Nothobranchius furzeri: one gene and its partners. The protein of the gene in region 1 interacts with the protein of each later gene in a pairwise test. Links are inferred from orthologs where the notes say so. Each region holds a gene or a part of one and is shown in the gene's direction. Other genes may lie near its edges.

The links. The genes of interacting proteins can lie anywhere in the genome.
Region 2: the proteins of siah1 (region 1) and numb interact in a two-hybrid assay, tested with the Homo sapiens proteins (2 studies listed by BioGRID and IntAct). The link is inferred for Nothobranchius furzeri from reciprocal best matches to the Homo sapiens genes SIAH1 and NUMB.
Region 3: the proteins of siah1 (region 1) and rad51ap1 interact in binary tests that used the Homo sapiens proteins (3 or more experiments, as listed by UniProt). The two-hybrid records come from large-scale screens. The link is inferred for Nothobranchius furzeri from reciprocal best matches to the Homo sapiens genes SIAH1 and RAD51AP1.
Region 4: the proteins of siah1 (region 1) and ctsk interact in a two-hybrid assay, tested with the Homo sapiens proteins (2 studies listed by BioGRID). The link is inferred for Nothobranchius furzeri from reciprocal best matches to the Homo sapiens genes SIAH1 and CTSK.

What each region holds. Positions count from the first base shown.
Region 1 is NC_091744.1:81,660,928-81,663,613, forward strand, and holds the end of siah1 (E3 ubiquitin-protein ligase Siah1), read left to right. Parts: intron 1-212; coding exon 213-394; intron 395-784; coding exon 785-1,081; intron 1,082-1,313; coding exon 1,314-1,685; 3' UTR 1,686-2,103; downstream 2,104-2,686. UniProt on the Homo sapiens protein: E3 ubiquitin-protein ligase that mediates ubiquitination and subsequent proteasomal degradation of target proteins.
Region 2 is NC_091758.1:16,891,966-16,895,574, reverse strand, and holds part of numb (protein numb homolog), read left to right. Parts: intron 1-1,089; 5' UTR 1,090-1,100; coding exon 1,101-1,226; intron 1,227-3,609. UniProt on the Homo sapiens protein: Regulates clathrin-mediated receptor endocytosis. Plays a role in the process of neurogenesis.
Region 3 is NC_091741.1:43,141,094-43,143,703, forward strand, and holds part of rad51ap1 (RAD51-associated protein 1), read left to right. Parts: intron 1-530; coding exon 531-634; intron 635-718; coding exon 719-805; intron 806-1,656; coding exon 1,657-1,785; intron 1,786-2,610. UniProt on the Homo sapiens protein: Structure-specific DNA-binding protein involved in DNA repair by promoting RAD51-mediated homologous recombination.
Region 4 is NC_091745.1:65,969,883-65,973,491, reverse strand, and holds part of ctsk (cathepsin K), read left to right. Parts: intron 1-3,240; coding exon 3,241-3,349; intron 3,350-3,439; coding exon 3,440-3,539; 3' UTR 3,540-3,609. UniProt on the Homo sapiens protein: Thiol protease involved in osteoclastic bone resorption and may participate partially in the disorder of bone remodeling. Displays potent endoprotease activity against fibrinogen at acid pH. May play an important role in extracellular matrix degradation.

The sequences.
Region 1 (2,686 bases):
GTACATTATGATGTCACAATTCTGTCGTGAGCCTGTGTGTGTGTGTATTTGTTAGCAGCTCTGCCTTCTCAGTCTGCTAGGCAACAGCATTTGTTGCATTTTTCAAACATGAAGTGGGAGTGGAGTTAGACTCTGGTAGGGGTTGACTTGCTCTTTAAATAGAAGTGTAAAGGTGTTTATCGCTGTAACTCCACTCTTGTGTCTTTTATCAGAAATGAGTCGCCAGACCGCCACCGCGCTGCCCACAGGAACTTCTAAGTGCCCTCCCTCTCAGCGCGTGCCCACCCTGTCGGGCACCACGGCCTCCAACAGTGACCTGGCCAGCCTGTTCGAGTGTCCGGTCTGCTTTGACTATGTCCTGCCCCCCATCCTGCAGTGCCAGTCGGGACACCTGGTACGTATCGCCCCCATCAACCAAACCCCACAGAGCACCGACGTTCCTGGGTCATGTAGCCCTGTGACCCGGCCCAGATGAGACCAGAACCAAACCACAGAAAGTTAAAATGGCTTATTTTTTTAACCAAGATCTGATGGTTTGGTTAGAATCAGCTGCGATATGGCAAGCTGTTATGTCATATGTTTGAAGATTTTTCTTTAAAAATATCTGTTAAAACTCAATTTTTTCCAAATGTACCAAAGGATGCCTCAGCATTAATTAGTGCTCTCATCGGGATGAACTCACACTTGGTCTGGATGTTTTAACTTTAACCCATCCAGTCATTCGTGGTGGTGCGCACACACACTTTTTTTTTAGTGTAACTACTGAGCTCATATTTCGTCTCAGGTGTGCTCCAACTGCCGGCCCAAGCTCACCTGCTGCCCCACCTGCAGGGGCCCCCTGGGCTCCATCAGGAACCTGGCCATGGAGAAGGTAGCCAACTCGGTGCTCTTCCCCTGTAAGTACGCCTCATCAGGCTGTGAAGTCACTCTGCCTCACACCGACAAGACCGAGCACGAGGAGCTGTGCGAGTTCCGACCATATTCCTGCCCGTGTCCCGGAGCCTCCTGCAAGTGGCAGGGATCCCTGGATGCAGTCATGCCACACCTGATGCACCAGCACAAGTCCATCACCACACTGCAGGTCAGAGGTCACGCTTGGTGCTTTGAGCTCGTTTCCTGGTGGATTTTATTAATGAAGTCAAATCTCAAGATTTTACAAATAAATTTTACTTTTCAGGACCAAATTTTTCAGTCTTTTGTTCTAACGGCTGTAGTGATTTGTAGCAGTGCCCTCTGCTGGACACGGGTCACACAGTAATGAGTCTTAGGGTTCTGCTTCTGCCTGCTCACCCTCTGACCTGTGTGTGCATCAGGGTGAGGACATCGTGTTCCTGGCGACAGACATCAACCTGCCCGGCGCCGTGGACTGGGTCATGATGCAGTCCTGCTTCGGGTTCCACTTTATGCTGGTGCTGGAGAAGCAGGAGAAGTATGACGGCCACCAGCAGTTCTTCGCCATCGTGCAGCTCATCGGGACTCGCAAGCAGGCAGAAAACTTCGCATACCGGCTGGAGCTCAACGGTCACCGGCGTCGGCTCACCTGGGAGGCGACTCCACGCTCCATCCACGAGGGCATCGCCACGGCAATCATGAACAGCGACTGCTTGGTGTTTGACACATCGATCGCACAGCTGTTCGCCGAGAATGGCAACCTGGGCATCAACGTCACCATCTCCATGTGCTGAGGACTCCCAGGTGACGAGCATCAGATTGTAAAGGAGGGTGGGGGGTGCATTTTTTTAGGGGTCACGTCCATGCTGACCTCACAGCCCCACCCCTCCCCTCTGTGACATGGATCTGGACTGTGATTGGGCAGCAGTGAGGGCCCAGGCTGTTATGTATGGATGAGTGAAGCGCATTAGGACATACCTGTGTAGTGAAGACTTGTCAGACTCACCTGTGATTGGCTGGATTGTTTAGTTCTAGTCCCGTTTTGTTTCTCCTCATCCTGAAGGTCATGTCAAGGACAATACAACATGGACTCCTGGTCAGTGCTAACAAGCTAGCTTGCCAGCTAGCTTCTTTTCAAAAATCCAAATGTAGACGAACGGAGATCTGAGTGGCTGCTATCAACTCACTCATCCATAAAACCTCTTCCCAAACGCTCGTTTCACCTGTGACTGATAACGATTTAGACGTTGGACCGGACGGCTGCAGCACCAGAACCCTGGATCTGTACTAAGTGTTCATAAAACAGGCTCACCTGGTCTGACCCGGCCAGCTCAAAGGTCAAACTGGGACAGCCGTAGTTGATAGTTAATCGACTCCGAACGGGAAGCTCTGAGCCGGATCTTTACCTGCTCTATTTTTTGGACTAGCTGTAGTGTGCCGTCACACACGACAACACACCTGTCCTCTGCACCACACACACTGAGCAGGTGAGACCTGACCGAGGAACAGAAGTTTTTCAGAACTAGGAAGAGATTAAAAAACACTACATTTCACTTTAGTTTGGAGGTTTTATTTCATGCGTCTGTTTCTAAACTGTTTTAGTTGTTTTTGTATGAAAGGAGCATGAAAAAGATGGATCTGTGGTTCAGACCTGCTAGACTGTCGTTTCTCCTCCATCTGAACGCCCAACCTGGATTAGAGACAGTTCTTCTGTTCAAATGTTTATTATTACTGAATAGAGATATAAAGATCATTTTTGTATCGACTTTTAAAAACTAAAAAGCAGTTGTAAAAT
Region 2 (3,609 bases), on another chromosome or scaffold:
TACATTTATCAAGTGACGGTTTTCCTATAGGAGCAAACGGTGAACATTGGAACAGAAAAGTTGATGTTTTTTTCACCTCGGTGAGCCAAAGCAACAACAGGGCTTAGCTGCATAAGTACAGCTTTTTGTTTATTAGCAATCACATATGGCCTCTGTTCATCAGAAAAAAAATGACACATTTATGATTGTAACTTCATTTATAACTGCGTTATCAAATCTGCAAAAAGTTGGCTTTTAAATACAATCACAGAACTCTCAACCCTTCTGTTGGCTATCATCTCTTGGCCATGCCCCCTCACAAGGGAACCTGCGTCGCCACGGTAAACGAGATGGCACTAAACACCAGTCACAGTTTTCTAGATCCAAACATCTTTTGTTGTCCGTGACTTCAAGTGGTGTTTTTCTTTTTGGGACTCTGGTAGTTTGTCCTAAAGTTGAAGTGGTAGCAGCCAACTGTTTCTCCTTCTCTGATATTATTGAGCAGAGAGCCTCTGTTACGGCTGCCAGCCTGACCTCTCACACCAGTGGTGTTCTGTTGCTAAATGTGTGTGTGAGTGTGTATATGAATGGAGGTCCCAGGACAATGCAGCGGTTCAGTTAGATCGACAACCGGATGGTCCAGTTGGTTTCAGACTGAGCTGTGCTATTGGCTGAGGTTTTTGGACAAATGTGAGAGAACCAGTGAATTAATTTGTTTATTTATTTTTTATTTCCACCATATAGTTATAGCTATACTATGTTGTTGAGAGGGATAAAATCCTTGTTTTAAGTTGGCGTGTTTTGTAGTTTTGGCATTGTAGCTTTAATAGTGAATTTAAAAAAACAGGCAAATGGCCGCGTGTAAGAAAATATTTATTTCGTAAACTTGTTCTAACTATTGAACCAAAACAAAATAGCTTTGATGGTTAAACTATTCGTTTTTGATGTAATAATCATTTTGTCCAGTATGTTTTATTAAAATGCTTCCTGCATGTTAAAAAGGTTGTTCAATAATCACACAGCTCCAGGCTCGATGGGTAAAAGAGAGATCTGCCTTCCTTATTTAACTGCTGACAGTCCAGTCTAAACTGCCTCTTTCTGTCCTCACAGGGAGCTCAGCGATGAATAAGCTAAGGCAGAGCTTTCGGCGAAAGAAAGACGTCTATGTGCCGGAATCGAGTCGGCCGCACCAGTGGCAGACGGACGAGGAGGCGGTGCGCAGTGGAAAATGCAGCTTTGCAGTCAAGGTGACTCTACACACGCTCACTCATTTACAAACAAAAACCCAGTTTGAAAGATGCCGGCTTTCACACACATGCTGATTGCAGGGCTGACCAGAGAGGGACACCGTCCTGGTGTCTGTCTCTCCAAGGACACTGCTGTGACTAATCAGAAGCATTCAGGCTGTAAGCACTAGTGAGGGTTAGGGTTCTTTTGAACCCGCGGGTACCGCAGATTTGATAACGTCTGATCCGCACCAAACCGCCCCGCTTCACTAGGTCTATTTTTACAACCCGCGCCGCCCCGACCCGCCTCATTAAAAACACGTTATTGATTGAATGTGCTTTTATTCAGACAAAGGTGCGTTAAATAGCCCCCAAACTGGCACTGGAAAATGGTAGTAACATTTACATTTTTAAAGGCTAAAATAAAAAATTAAAATAAAAAATAAAAATAGGCAGATAAAGAAAGTTTAAAATTAAATGAAACAAGGGTTTTTTGTTTGTTTCCCTACTAATAGTGCAATAACCAAAACAAAAACAGCACCTAGAGCCCATGCTTGGGCAAACAAAATAATAAAACATTTTACAACTTTTATCAAACATTTTGAAAGCAAACAAACGCATTACCTGTTATGTTCTTGTTTTGTCCAGCCAATGCTGCTGCTGTTGTCTGTGCTTATTACCTTGCTGAATCTTTCCCAAACCAGCGATTTAGCAGTTTGTCCCTCCTTTCTTTTAAGAATGTAAACTCCCGAACAAATTTTATCCAAAATATCGTCCTCCATTGTTTTGTTGATAAGTCTGCCTGCCACCTGCTTGCAACTTTGGCTCACTTCACTGGCACTTTCTGTACGTGCCTACGTCATGGGGTTGGAGTTATGTTTTAAAACGTGACCGTGTGTAAACAACTGTCTTAAATTGTGTTTTACAAAATTAAGCTTTGATTAATGTCTTTATCCTCAGTGTGCACATATATTTATATATATATATATATATATATATATATATGTGTGTGTGTGTGTGTGCGTGTATATATATGTGTGTGTATATATGTATATGTATGTATATATATGTATGTATATATGTATATATATATTTTTTATATGTATGTATGTATATGTATGTATATGTATATGTATATGTATATATATATATATGTATACATATATATATATGTATATATATGTATATACATATATATATATATATATATATATATATATATATGTATATACATATATATATATATATATGTATATGTATATACATATATATATATATATATATATATATACAGGGAGTGCAGAATTATTAAGCCAATGAGTATTTTGTCCACATCATCCTGTTCATGCATGTTGTCTTACTCCAAGCTGTATAGGCTCGAAAGCCGACTACCAATTAAGTTTATTAGGTGATGTGCATCTCTGTAATGAGAAGGGGTGTGGTCTAATGACATCAACACCCTATATCAGGTGTGCATAATAATTAGGCAACTTCCTTTCCTTTGGCAAAATGGGTCAAAAGAAGGACTTGACAGGGTCAGAAAAGTCAAAAATAGTGAGATATCTTGCAGAGGGATGCAGCAGTCTTAAAACTGCAAAGCTTCTGAAGCGTGATCATCGAACAATCAAGCGTTTCATTCAAAATAGTCAACAGGGTCGCAAGAAGCGTGTGGAAAAACCAAGGTGCAAAATAACTGCCCATGAACTGAGATAAGTCAAGCGTGCAGCTGCCAAGATACCACTTGTCTCCAGTTTGGCCATATTTCAGAGCTGCAACATCACTGGAGTGCCCAAAAGCACAAGGTGTGCCATACTCCGAGACATGGCCAAGGTAAGAAAGGCTGAAAGACGACCACCACTGAACAAGACACACAAGCTGAAACGTCAAGACTGGGCCAAGAAATATCTGAAGACTGATTTTTCTAAGGTTTTCTGGACTGATGAAATGAGAGTGAGTCTTGATGGGCCAGATGGATGGGCCCGTGGCTGGATTGGTAAAGGGCAGAGAGCTCCAGTCCCACTCAGACGCCAGCAAGGTGGAGGTGGAGTACTGGTTTGGGCTGGTATCAGCAAAGATGAGCTTGTGGGGCCTTTTCGGGTTGAAGATGGAGTCGAGCTCAGCTCCCAGTCCTACTGCCAGTTTCTGGAAGACACTTTCTTCAAGCAGTGGTACAGGAAGAAGTCTGCATCCTTCAAGAAAACCATGATTTTCATGCAGGACAATGCTCCATCACACGCGTCCAAGTACTTGGCTGGCAAGTAAGGGTATAAAAGAAGAAAAACTAATGACATGGCCTCCTTGTTCACCTGATCTGAACCCCATTGAGAACCTGTGGTCCATCATCAAATGTGGGATTTACAAAGAGGGAAAACAGTACACCTCTCTGAACAATGTCTGGGAGGCT
Region 3 (2,610 bases), on another chromosome or scaffold:
CCAAGGACACAGCAGCAGAATACCCCTGGCGGGAGCTGGAATCGAGCCCACGACCCTCCGATCATGAGGCAACCCGCTCTTCCACCTGAGCTACTGCTGCCCAAGTGATTCATTTTTTTATTAACCAATTTTATTTTATTTTTGAGTAAGAAAGAATTTTTTTTTATCAATCTGTGGAGATTTGAGAGTAATTCTGTGGATGTTTGTTTATTTTGCCTTTAAATAAACATCAAATTTCTCACCTGTTTCAGTGAGCTAACCGGGTGAAGTGGGGAGGGAGTTGTTAAATAGCTCCGAGAAGTTTCTCTGTTCTCTGAAAAGCTTTATTTAGAGTTAAAACGTAGTGGACTTGTGTGGTGGAGTCTGTGGATGTTTGGATGAAGGATCACTAGCTATGTGGCATTATTTCACTTTTAGTCACAAATGAAACCACAAGCTGTTCCAGAGTTCTCCATCATGCTTTAGATGCATTTTTTTGCAGAGAATTCAAACAAAGGTGTAAACTTTTCTACGTGAACTCATTTTGTCAGAAAACCACTGGATGAAAAGTTGTACGAGAGAGATCTAGAAGCAGCCATCACACTTTCCTTACTCAACAACGCAGAGGGAATAAAGGAGGCTCCCACCAGCAAAGGTGTGCTTTGTCAAGTGATTTTATGTTCATAAACGGTTGCAGATAGATTTTTAAAATATTTTTTCTGCAAATTCTAACCTGCAGATCTCCGAGCTAAAAACCCCATAGATGAAAACACCGATCCATTTTCTCTTCCTATCTCCAACTGCAGTGTGGACGGAGCTGTTATGGGTAAATCCTCCTTTTCTGTTGCCTGTATACACATCTAAGCAGTGTAAAAATTATGGTTATGTTTATGTATTTAGCAGACGCTTTTGTCCAAAGCGACTTACAAGTGATAATCGGCATGTTGCCCTTGAGGCTAACAACAACAACAACTTGACATCAATCATGGAGAGGAGGGAACAAGGAGTGGACAGTAGAGAGGGGGACGGGTGCAGGGAGGGTGCTAGTTAAGAAGATGCTCTCTGAAGAGCAGGGTCTTCAGGAGTTTCTTGAAAATTGAAAAGGAAGCCCCTGTTCTGGTAGAGCTTGGAAGGTCATTCCACATTTGTGGAACGATGCATGAGAACAGTCTGGATTGTCCTGAGCGTGGTGTGGGCTCTGCTAGCCGACGATCCTGTGATGACCGGAGCAGCCGGGCAGAGACGTAAGCCTTTGCAAGATGATTCAGGTAGATGGGAGCCGTACCGTCTCGGACTTTGTATGCTAGTGTTAGCAATTTGAATTTGAAGCCTGCTGCTAGCGGTAGCCAGTGGAGCTCAATGAACAGAGGGGTGACGTGTGCTCTTTTTGGCTGATTGAAGACCAGACGCGCCGCTGCATTCTGGACCATTTGAAGAGGTCTCACAGTACAGCCTGGAAGACCAGTTAGAAGGGCATTGCAGTAATCGAGGCGGGAGAGGACAGTAGATTGCACCAGGAGCTGGGTGGCATGTTGTGTTATGTTTGGGTAAATTGCCTAAAATTGTGAAACTGCCAGGCTTTTGACGTTCCCAGTGCAGTCAAAAGAGCATGCCTAAGAATTGTTTTGTTTTTTAGCTTGTGGATCTTCTTGATAATTTGATAACTTTTATCTTCAGGCTTGAACAAAATCACTTCAGAGAAAGGATCACCGGTTTCTGCCAAGCGGAGAAAAGCTTCCGCCAAAGCTGCTGAGGTACAAAGAAAAACGAATGAAGATGAGGACTATCAACCCAAACTGACCCCAGGTAATGCTTTTATTTATATACAGTAAATATCAATTCATTAAAAAATGTTGAGTTTGTGCTGTCTAATGTTGTTCCCACTAAAATCTAAACCATCAGTGCCACCATAAAGGTGGAATAAGATGTTTTTCATGATTTTCTCGCCGGTTGCTGAATGTGCAAAATTCAGTGGTCCCCCCCATTTTTCAGGCTTCTCAACAAGGGCCTTAAAGGAGGGGGGGCTGCCTTATTTCCCAAAGTAGTGCACCAACGTCACCGTATGAAAACTTAGAATGCCAGCTAATATAGTGTGGTGCTTTTTATTAGGGATGTCCCGATCCGATCACATGCTCGGAAATCGGCCCCGATCACGTGGTTTCAGACTCGATCGGGACTCGGACTTTACTTCCCAATCCAAGCCCCGATCCGGACTCGGATACTGGGTTCAAATTACAGGAAAGCAACTTGGTTCTCCTTAAAGGTTGTCAGGCTCCCCTGATGCCCTTAACTTCCACACCCAGAAGGAGCACAACAAAGATCCAGTTTCTACCTTTATTATATTATATTATATTATGTTATGTTATGTTATGTTATATTATATTATATTATATTATATTATACTATATTATATTATATGGACTCAGCGTCGCGGGGATTCTTTTGAGCAGAGCAGCAGGCAGACCGCTGATTATTCATGAACTCCAGCTGCGTTCTGCACACAGCCACAGTAACATTTACTAAGTTTTTAAGTGGCGTCACCAAAAATATATAATTAACACACAGTCATTCGTGTCCGTTCATTTTCTCTCTGGTAAGTTCTGTCTGTATTTGAGCATGACGTGTGGACGC
Region 4 (3,609 bases), on another chromosome or scaffold:
CTCAGCTGTTGCACTGGTAAACGAAGAGCGCCATGCTCTGTAATTCTCTGGCCTGTCGTCGAACTGGTAAAGGCCTGAGATTATTAAATCTCGACGTGCCATGTATTGAGCAAAGGGCTCTGCTGGATTTAAAATGCTGGCCGCGGTGTTACAGTTATGCTGAGGTATAAATGGTGAGCCGCATGGGTTGAGAGAGGTATTTTGTTTCTCCACTTTAGGTTTTGTTTCACCTTTCAGCTGGCTGGGGTAATTTAGAGCAGCGATATTAGCTTTGGTAAGCCTCATTTCAGAGTTGATGGGTTGTGGCTCTAAATTGCCTTCTTCAGATGGATGCCACGTTACAAATGTGTTGGGTGAACTTGCTCTGGGACAAGCAGTGGTTGGTAATTGTCGTGGACTGGGAGATAGCTTGGTGTCCATTTGAGATCGTACATATTCATTCGTACGTTCTAATTTTACACTTTCTGATGGAGATTTTCTACTCTCGGGTTCTTCTTGTATTGCTTCAGCTTCCTCTAGCACTTCTGCTTCAGCTAGAGCAGCATCAGCTTCCCTCTGTAATGTTAACACTTCTAATTCCACATCTATTTTTGCCTTTTCCAGTTCGCTTTGAGCTTTTTCAACTTTTAACTGTGCTTCTTTTGTTGCGTAGCATGCTCTCACCTTCGCAGCCTCTGCTTTAGCTCGAGCCTGGGCAGCGCTTACTGCTGATCCAGATGAGCGGCTCGTCCTCAAACTGCGTGCAGACTTGTTACTCGATGCCATTTTGACCGTGATGAATCGTCAGTAGTCGCCTTTTCACTGTAGTGTTTTCAACAGGAATGTTGGTGACACCGAGTTAAACCACAAATGAAGACCCTGGAGTTTAGCTGCAGCTTGTTTAATTGTCTCATGAACATGTGGTGAAAACTGAAATGACAGAAAATAGACTCCATCTTAACAGATAGAAGCATGTTTACATCCAAAAAGTGCATTACTCTCACTGAAACATTCATGTTAGCAAAATATACACTAATATCCAAAGCTATTAGTATAAACTGTCATATAAAGCAACTTACGGCGTTCCAGCCTGATAATTCAGAGAAGATGGCATCTGATTACATCTCCACGCTGCCTTCTGCACAGTGTTGCCAGATCCAAAATCCCACAATATCGTACAGAGAGGCTTAAATTATCGTTTTTCAGTACAAATTATCGTACATTATAAATTTGATAATAACGTTCTATAAACAACTTCTCACTCCAATATAATATAACAAAGAAGGTGTTTTATATTGCCCTGTTTAAATAAACATCTTTAAAACCAGTAATATAATGCTTATAAACGTGCAGAGTGTGTCAGCACCACTCCGACCTCCACGCATTGACACAATATGCACATTTGCGCAGTCCTATTTATTTCATTTCTACATAGGTTTTTCTTTTAAGATTAGAAGCCATTGTCTCGTTGCTCTGTCATCCTAGATTAGACTTAACTCGGCGTGCTCGCGGGCAAACAGCAAAAACTGGCGGGACACTGCCACATTATATAACCTTACAGTTTCTCACGAGAGTAGGCCCTATCGATGTGATTGGGCTATTTATAGTACAGACCCAGAGTCAGTTTTTGTAATAGACACAATAGCATAAACCTGTAAGCACTGAGGCGAAATCTGACTTCAGAACAGTTTAAAATTATGTAACTGACTTGGGAAAGCTACAGCAAAAGACGGTGTTACTAGTTGCAATGTGAAATTATCGTACATTTGAGGATTTTTTAAACTATTGATCGTACATTGTAGAGCCCAAAATTATGGTACGAATACGATAATTATCGTACATCTGGCAACACTGCTTCTGCATGAAGCGCCTGTTTCTCCGCGAAAACAGTGTTTGACCAAAACCGGAAGTGCACCGCCAGAACAGGAAGCACATTTTAGCGATATTTTCTTTTTAACTAAAACACATATAAAGCATGAATTATTCATTTTAACAACACATATCAATGTTTTTAATGACAAATCCTTTTAGAATTATTTATTTCAAACTTATGAACCTATTTATTCAGAGAAAGCCTTAAGGGCAACACAACAACATTTAAATGATCACTTCTAATTAAACTAAATAATGACGAATAAAAGACAACAACAAAAATTGACAGAAACGAAAATCCTATCGTTAAAACAGTAATGATGGTAGAATGTAGACAAAAAGAAACAATCACCGTATGGAAAGACGAGACTAGATGAGCTGGCCATGTTTGAACAAGCTTCCGCTACCAGTTATACATCTTAAAGGACAAAATGTCCACAGCTTGGTTTTAAACGTGTTACGGTGGTAGCAGCTAGCAGGGGCGGGAGAGGAGCTTAACCAAACTGGTGGTTTTAACATTTTCATGGCATTAGTACAGCCAATGATATCAGCGTCTGGTGATCTAGTGGTGTTTCTGTGAAGAAGAAAAAACATTCAGGTGGTCCAGAAAATTGTTCAGGCAGCCCACCTGCCTGGGAAAACTCTGATAAACACACCCGAAAACAATCTTTACCTTTAGTTTACCTCCTCACATTATTAGAGTAACACATATTAGTGTTTTAATGGTTTGATGTCATTTCATGTAAGGTTTACAAATATTACTGCACATTATACAGATTTGTTTAATTTATTAATATTGGGAGACACAATTTCTAATTGTCAGTGTTCACTTTGGTATTTAGCAATAATTATGGTCACTTAGACAACTAGATGTATAGTTTTATTGATGCAAAATGTGAAATGTGAATTTTTCTTTACAGTTTAAAGTAGTTAAGACTTCCTTTACAGAAAATTGTTGCATCAGATGACAAATACATACATTTTAGTCAAATAAAATAAGACTAAAATAAAACACATTGGACGACTAAATTGTGACAAAATTTTAAAACTATTTAAAACTAAATTCTAATTTCTTGTCAAAGTTGGCATTGCCTCTAACCGGGCAACGGAGCTAAAACATTAATTTTTTAATAGCAAAATTAATTAAATAAATTAACATAAGACATTTTGCTTCCATTATAGCACAGTGCAGGGTACGACTAGGTTTTAATGATTTCTTAAAACTTGTATACATAACTCCTGAAAAGGGGAAGACTCCAGATTGCAGGTTTGATATGACCATCTTTAGATGTTGAAATTGTCAACACAGCGTAGATAATATCTCCTTCCTCTATGGATTGTTTCACATCTCAAGTTTACATATTTGTACTTTCTCTGTCATGTGACCAGGCATTTATTACGACACCAACTGTAACAAGGAGGACATCAATCACGCCGTGCTGGCCGTTGGCTTTGGTGTGAGCCCCAAGGGGAAGAAGTACTGGATCGTCAAGAACAGGTGGGGCGTCACGGAAAATAAATAGTTAATTTCAAGTGTCGATTTGAGTCCAGGTGACGTTCAGCCTCTCTTTTGTTTTCATCCCGACAGCTGGGGTGAAGAGTGGGGCAACAACGGCTACATCTTGATGGCACGCAACCGTGGCAACCTCTGTGGCATCGCTAACCTGGCCAGCTACCCCATCATGTGATCAGATGAGTGTGGCGGAAGTGGAGACTTAGACTACTACGCACCACAATGATGAAACAACCATCAGTATT